Linked DNA regions of Tribolium castaneum. The protein of the gene in region 2 interacts with the protein of the main gene of each other region in a pairwise test. Links are inferred from orthologs where the notes say so. Each region holds a gene or a part of one and is shown on either strand. Other genes may lie near its edges.

The links.
Region 1: the proteins of serine/threonine-protein phosphatase 2B catalytic subunit 2 (region 2) and sra interact in binary tests that used the Caenorhabditis elegans proteins (3 or more experiments, as listed by UniProt). The link is inferred for Tribolium castaneum from reciprocal best matches to the Caenorhabditis elegans genes tax-6 and rcan-1.

The regions. Positions count from the first base shown.
Region 1 is NC_087397.1:2,068,447-2,072,647, reverse strand, and holds sra (protein sarah), read right to left. Parts: upstream 2,712-4,201; 5' UTR 2,528-2,711; coding exon 2,335-2,527; intron 2,290-2,334; coding exon 1,817-2,289; 3' UTR 818-1,816; downstream 1-817. Other genes in the region: organic cation transporter protein, read left to right, coding at 1-652; probable nucleoporin Nup54, read left to right, coding at 3,024-3,081. UniProt on the Caenorhabditis elegans protein: Inhibits tax-6/calcineurin A phosphatase activity and thereby negatively regulates calcineurin-mediated functions.
Region 2 is NC_087394.1:25,325,854-25,329,677, reverse strand, and holds part of serine/threonine-protein phosphatase 2B catalytic subunit 2, read right to left. Parts: intron 2,738-3,824; coding exon 2,705-2,737; intron 1,666-2,704; coding exon 1,587-1,665; intron 1,538-1,586; coding exon 1,440-1,537; intron 1,386-1,439; coding exon 1,222-1,385; 3' UTR 1,184-1,221; intron 1,170-1,183; exon of another isoform or gene 1,155-1,169; coding exon of another isoform or gene 1,129-1,154; intron 1-1,128. Other genes in the region: Pep (zinc finger protein on ecdysone puffs), read left to right, coding at 1,129-1,154. UniProt on the Caenorhabditis elegans protein: Calcium-dependent, calmodulin-stimulated protein phosphatase. Dephosphorylates arrd-17. Dephosphorylates daf-16 at 'Ser-319' which regulates daf-16 nuclear translocation. Dephosphorylates calcium permeable cation channel pkd-2 at 'Ser-534'.

The DNA.
Region 1 (4,201 bases), on a different chromosome or scaffold from region 2:
GAACTGGTTCGCCAATTCGTTGGTTTACTACGGACTGTCGCTGAACACGGGGCAGTTGAGCGGCGATCCGTTTTTAATTTTATTTGTCATGGGTTTGGTCGAATTGCCCAGCTATGTCCTAACTGTGTATTTGATGGACAGAATGGGTCGTCGGTCCTTAACCGCCCTCAATATGATCCTTGGCGGGATTTGTTGCATCGCTGCCGCGAATCTAACCATGGGAAGTACCGAATCGACCGCTTTCGTCGTCACTGGCAAATTCCTAATCGCCAGTTCTTTCGCAATTATTTACAATTACTCGGCCGAACTTTTCCCGACTGTTGTCCGAAACTCGGCCCTCGGAATCGGGGCAATGTGTGCCCGGACTTCCGGAGCCCTAACTCCCCTTATAACACTCCTGGATTCGTTCGATCCAACCCTACCGTCCATTATTTTCGCAGTTATTGCGCTAATTTCCGGGTTTTTGACCTTATTCCTTCCGGAAACTTTGAACAAACCCATGCCGCAAACTATACAAGACGGCGAAGAATTCGGGAAAGGCGATACGTTCTTCACGTCATGTTGCAAGAAGAAGACTCCGGATGAGGAAGAAACTGTCACTTCCAAGCCACCAACTTCCGAGCAAATGCAACCGCTGGGGGTCACCAGGTGAAGCGCGGCTTTAGCGACTGTTAGTGTAGTAGGAGTGTGGACTTATTGTCTATTTATTCATAAAATAAATATTTTTATAAAAGTAAAATCGCCTTTGGATTTACGAGTAATCGGGTGGGGAGAAAATTCAATTTGTAATTCCGATGAAAAAAATTAAAGAAAGAACTGATTTATCAACGAATAACTTTATTTACACATAGATACATAGTTAACGTCTTTTTGTTTATTTTATTACCATTGAAATAAAGAGGTGGATACGGACATTGTTCGAACTATTGTTCAGGGATATAGCTTGAAAAATAGTCGGAAACAGGCACAAATTATCTAAAAATAAACTTAATCCCATACGTAATTATGTAATTTCAAGCTTCATAATTGCAGAATAATTCGAGAAAGTCAGTGGACATACATTACGACTATACAAAATATACATAGCCATTTTACAAAATACGTATCCGTATTTTTGGTACGTTTACACTCTTTTTTATTCATAAAGTTGATCAATATTGTTTTCGACGAAACTGCAGCAACTTTAAATCGATAATTTTTGTCACAACCAAATAAACCAATAAAATTTTAGTTTTATCATTTTTAAAGTTACCGAATTTCGTAACTCGTGTAAAGATTGTAAGCAAAAAATAAACAATATACGAAACTATTTATAAATAATCTGGTGAAAAGAGAAAAAATCACAGACTAAAGACTAGCATGAACTAAACATTTAAATTCGTTGTCATTAATAAACATACAAAGGAAGTTCTCGAGTTTTGTAATTACAAAAAGAAAATTTCTTCTAAACTGAGTACTTCTGATAATTTTTTCCACCCCAATTTCATAATCAATTGCTTGAATCTAGGTTGAATATAAAATTGGTTGCTGTTTTCTTCAATAAATAATTACAGATTCCTGTTTGAAGTTGCCAGCTGATGGCATTAAACTCAGGGCCAACCTGTCTCAAATTCCCGCTGAGTACTTTAGGAAATTATCTTTTATTAGCAACACCTTTATTATCACATTGAGTTAAATTAATGATACAGTTACAACCAACAAATGAATCACGTAATTCCATAATAAATGAGTGACAGATTCTACATAGAGAGAAATTGACATATTGAGAGGCTCTGAAGCTCACACTTAAAATAACCTTGAAGACCTGTACAAATCATTAACTCCGTTCCGGACACGACGTCTGTGGCATCCTGCCTTTGGCCCCCACGCCGTCCGCCCCCAGGGCCGTGTGCACCACGATGCTGGGCTGGCCGGGGGAGGGGGGGTGCACCTCGTGCGACGCCCCCGGCGTGAGGGTGGCCAAAGCTGCAAGAAGGTCATGATTGATAATGGGCTCACCTTCCGGCCGGGGCTCCCAGTCGAGGGGGGGCGACGCCGGCGGCGAGATTAGGAACTGCTTGAAGGGGGCTGGCGGCTGCAGGCTGGGGTTTTTGACGGGGGTGACGGGTTGAGCAAAGTAACACGTAATCACTGAGTCGTTGATTTTGTATTGGTGGAGCTGAATGCGGGCGCTGGCGGCTGCCACGGGCGTCTGGAAGTTCACTCTCAGTCTTCGGAAACTGCGCAGCCACTGGAATGTCACGTCCGGGTCGAAGTTCCGGAACAGGTTCTCCATTTCGCGCTTTTTCTCTGCAATTTTACGGTCAGATCGGGTGAGGGCTGGGGGCGGATTACCGGGCGAGGTGAAGACACTGTCGTGGATGTTGGTGACGATGAGGGACGTCGGCAGGTCCTCGAACTCGTCGTCGGTCACATGCTCGGGGCTGTCGATGTCGGCCTCCGCCAGCAGGTTGGGGTGCACGTTGGGAAGGCCGTCTTGGTCGTTAATGATGATATCGTCGTCCATTTCGCCGTTGCTTTCAGCCATTGAAAAATTGGATTAAATTCACCGACACAGGATCTACCGCGGTTTAAACCCCATAAAACAATGCGCACTTTTTCGGCTAAACTAATCAAGGCTAACTCTTACGCTACTAAATTTTAACACAAAAACATTGCAATATCAAAGTGCAAAAAACACAACCCAACAATTGCAAATGCCAAATGTCAGGAATGAATGACACTTGACAAGGGGATGAAAGCCGAAAGTTCGCCAGCCCGAATTGAAATACAAAGGAATGAGCTTAAAAAAACGTAAAACCCTGAAATGGATAGATTTCCAGATAATTAACATAAACACATGAGCGACTTTTTGATTTCGTATTTTTTTGTACAGAAAACGCTGAAATTTTGTGAAATTGCCGGTGTATAACCTAGGTTTGAAGTTTGACAGTTCTGTCAATTCGTTAAGTTCAATTTGTGAATACATAAAAAATTGTAATTACTATTTTTATATAAATACTAACGTTAAATTTAATGCAGTTATGGCATTTTCGTTCGGAAATGCAAACCAGTCGACTTTTGGAAGCCCGGCAAATAAACGTAAGTTTTAGAACCGTAAGAAAGTTAGGTTAAGTTCTTTCTATTTTGTTATTTGGTATTCACGGTTTTATTTATTTTCCCTTTAAACCGTAATTAATGAGATTTAATTTTGCCCAAAACGCCTGACTAATGTTTGTGTTCTTAATTTTTAACCAGAAAAAATCGAAAAAGTGGCAGCGTTTTGTACCATTCAGACTCAACAATACAAATCACCACACTTTTTACAGATAAAATGTTAATTGGTGTTTTAAATGGTTATAAAATTTAATTGTGATGATTGTTAACGTGTGAGTAACAATTCAACAATTTTTGTTTGAAACAAATCGCTAAAAAATGTTTTGTTTAGTGTTTAACTTAAATTTTTTGTCACGTCTGTGCTGCACAGTACACAAAAGTAATTTCATTACTTAACTGATAAAACATGAAAAACTGGACGTGTTCAATAAAAAACCTAGATTATAATTTATAAACCAAGAATTTATTTCGGCAATAACATTTTGAGGATATAAATAAACCTACCTAAGCGAGTAACAAAAATATAATGATAGTAAAATATAACAGATTATCACAAATATAATTAATACGATTTCATTCTTCCGTTTGAGATGGTAACTTGGCTCAAATCGGTTGCACAATCAAGCGATCCTGAACGGCTGGCTTTATATCGCTTATAAACGACGATAAGAATGACGATAATTAAGAGCAGACTGACGATTATAACTCCCAAAACAACGTACAAAGTTTTTCCCTCAACGTCGTATCCTTCGTAATATATTTGGTTCGAAACATCCGTAGTTGAAGAAAATACGTCAAGTGGGGTTGAAGTTGTATTTTGTGTACTGTTTTTTATTTCGGCCACTGCTGAAGTGATGTTGTTTTCAAAAATACCGATTGTTTCGGTCGTACTGTCGGTCACTTCGGTTATCACGGTGGTAATCGTTGTTGTAATATTTTGAGAAATCTCAGGAGTGGTAGCAGTTTCTGCAGTAACCGTACTGTTGGTTATTTCGCTGATGAGGGTAGTAGCTGGGGGAGTGAAACTCTGCCCAATTTTGAGTACGTTTTGATCGTCTGTGACTTGAAGGGTCGTTCCAAAACTTTTAGTAGCCCCTTTGATAGG
Region 2 (3,824 bases):
AAAAGAATCTAACGATGAGTACAAAATAATGTAACGATCAGTTCAGATTACAAAAACAATGCTAAAATATAATCTACAAAAATTCCAAACGAAACTATCAAAGAATTTTACAAAGACGTAGTTGGCATCTTAAGAAAAATCTAGAGAAAAGTACACAAACAATGCTAAAAATTATTATGGAAGAATTCGAAGCGAAACTAGAGAATAATTTAAAAGAATTGAAGTGATAGAGTAGAATTTAATAGAGAATTTGGAGAATGTAAAGAAGTGTTTATCAAAGAATTTTTAAACATTCGTATAAAAAAGCGATCACACTACAAAATAATTTAAAGGACAGCCCAGATTACAAAAACAATATAATCTGTAAAAATTCCAAACGACACTATCGAAGAATTTTGCTAAAACGTAGAGTGAAATCTAAAAGAGAAGTCTTAAAACAGTAGCTCATTGACAATAAAAACAGATTCAGAATCCTTCAACAATTTTTCATATGATAATCTGGAGTATCAATTATTATTGTATGAATTGTTTAACTTCGATAAAAAAAAGAGTTCTGATACTTTACTGCACGTAATACCGTTATTTTCAAGAAGGAAACGACGAAACTTTGACTTGTCTCAAAAACTGTTATAAAGACAATTTCGCAGTCCTCAGAAATTTTTTTATAAGATAAACTTACATTTGAGTTGGTTTGATTGTTTTTGATTATTGAAACCTTGACTGATTGAGATCATAAGAAGTGCCGCTCGCAGACAAAATTTGACAACAGATTCAAAATCCTTAAATTATTTTGCTTATCAAAAGTTGGAGTATCAATTATTTAAACATTCGAATTCCTAAGTACACAATTATAAGCACTCTCCTCTACTCCAACAAAAATTTATCTTAAGGAACCAAATTCTGATCGATATCTTAATGAAAAAACAGACATTTTTGGAATCTTCGGATAACTTTCCGTAAGAAAAAATCACATTTGATTCTCCATTTCGTCAAAAAGAGTTATATTTTCAGTATCTTAGTTTTACAATGCCTTGTAACGTGAAAAATGGCCAGGTTTTGGAACGACTTACGTTTAAAATGTCAAAATCTAATTTTGAGTTTAATTATTTAGTGCTCTCTTTTTTTAAGGGGTAATTGGATTTGGACATTTTTGAAGCGATCCCTCACAAACTAATGCACAAACCTGCAGCCGGCCAATGTGATGTCCTATTTAAGTGTAGCTCACGAGTGTGCATTAGATTGGGTGTGATTGTGGTCCTGTGGCGTTTCTTCAGCCGGCGACGGTGGCGCATCTTTCCTCGGAGGCATGCGCTCATTGATGGCGTCTAAACCTTTGGCTTCCGCGAAGCTCGTTATCTTATGATTAGGAGAGAATCCTTGCAACGCTAAAAACACAAGCATTTTCCATACACTATCTCAAACGAATCGATAAAACGCACCGTTTTTGAGACTCGTCTTTCCGCCTGATAACGCGCCTAGAGGCAGCGCACCCGTAGGCGTGAGACCTTTAAGTTGCAACACTGATTCACTTTCCTCCCTGGAACAATCGAGTTAATCGACACGACCTAACTCGTCCGAAACTTTACCTTAGAACAGAGAATACTCGAGCCATTTTACCAATCGCCCGGATTTTGTTACGTATCACTTCTTTCCTCAAGTTTGCTGCTGTACCTAAAAACCGAACTGATTTAGCGGTTTGGTTACAACCGAATTGAACGAAAAGTGCTACACTTGCTAATCTAATAATGGATGTTGTTATGACAAAGAGATTTTTTCTGTCTTGAGACACTCTGTATTAGTGAGTGATGGGCGTTATGTACATGCACAGTGAGCATTCACAGCGACTGAAACTTACCAAACGATGAGTTGTTGATCGGAACCATCGATGAAGAAATCGACAGCAAATGGGCAGTGGCGCAAAGTGTAGCGTAGAGTTATAGAAAAAAACAAAACAAACGGTGCATGTAGAAAATATAGCGTCAAACATACAAGTAACAAAATTTTCAGCAAATATTTATTTATCAAATGGTTGTGGATACTTGTGTGCATCCACAACGCGAAAGATAACAACAGATTTGATAAAAAAATCTTTAGTCAAAAGCTAGAACTAAAAGATTAAAGCAAAAACACTAAGCGAGAAAAATCGTAAAAAACGATAAAGGAGATTAAAATAGAAAAAATATGACAGTACTGCACTAGAATCGTATCAATGAGACAAATTCTTTTCTTATTTTTTAAAGAGTATTAATAATGCCAAATATATAACGAGTTACATTTATAAATTGATCAAAAAATATGCATCATGCTTGCTACATCTAAATCGGCTACGTCTAACGTAAATCTGAAGGAAACATAAACTAGTCTACCAATGGGATGAAGAACTCGAAAACGAAATAAAAACAGTATGAAAACGTGGTCAGGGTGGTTAGTGTAAAAATCCAAAATAAGAAAAGTTAATTTGGTCGTAATCGTTCGAATTGAGGAAAAGAAAAATTGCAAAAACAAGCCGTTTGGGAACAATGCCTATTCACAATTGAAAAACCCAAACAAACTTAAAAACAATGCACAACCTCCGAGTCCCGTCGAAAGTGAGTCAATAAGAATTGTTCCACAAAAAAACGCGCTTAATTTTGTTCAAAATGATCGTTAATGCAGTGTTATTTTAACTCCTCTGTTTAAGCTGCTTTGTTCTGTGATAACTTACCAGGTTTTTTAATAACAATTTTTGCCTGTTTCGCTGTGTGGGCGCGATTCCAAGGCGAATATAGACAAATAGTGAAAAATAGAAGTGTCAGAATAGAAGAAAAAATATAAGCAATACGAGTGCATGGATTCACTTTGTGAAAATCATATCTTTTTGAGAGAGATTTTAAGATTGAGTGCCGGAGAATTATGCAGTGCTTTTAGAAGTAAATATCTGACAGATATCGCAAAATTTTCAATGGGACAAGATGCTACTTGGGGTCATAAACAACAAAACATCGAAAAATTGGGTATTTACATCAACATATTTGGCAATATTTTTGATTGTTTGAACAACCCTTGCAAGTCGATCAAACTCAGGGGTTTATAACTAATTCATTGGTGTGGTTTTCAGCTAAATGCACACCAACGAATCGATCATTAAAAAAATTAGCCGACCGTCAAAGTAATAGATTTAGCTTGAACCAAAATCAAAAACTAGAAACGAAAAAACAAAAACACGTAACTATTCAGGCAGACTAATTTTAATTACGTACTACAAGTTTAAAGCAAATTATTGTTGGGAATAAAAACTGAACCTTACCATCTGTAATTCCAAGTAGCATTGAAAAATAACAAAAGGTATTTTTTTGCATTATTTTTGGTTGAAGAAAAATAATAAGCGTGTTGTTATTATCACTAGCTACCATTTTGAGTGAACATCAATTACAACAAATATTTTCGCGAAAGTAACAGGTTTTTGACGCAAAGGACTGCTCCAAGCTCCAATGGCGTCTATTTTTCTTTTACTAATAATTTTGTTAGTTATTTAAGCTCTTTTGGAAAAACGCTAACATTTTCATTCTTATAATTTCTCCTTTTGATAAAAAACTATTTTCTTAAAGGTCAAAGCAACTAAAACGAAAAAAAAAAATCGATTTGTATTCTACTTTTATTACAAACTGGAAAAAACCCGTTTGTGAATATTTAAAACTTTCCCATCAAAACACAAGTGCAAAGTTTTGTCAATTGTTCATCGTAATAATGAGTGGTATGATTAAAAAAAGTATTTGCTTTTACTTCAAGTAAAAACTACCTAAAGTAAGTAGTAAAAGCAAATATTTCATACACTGCTTAATGTA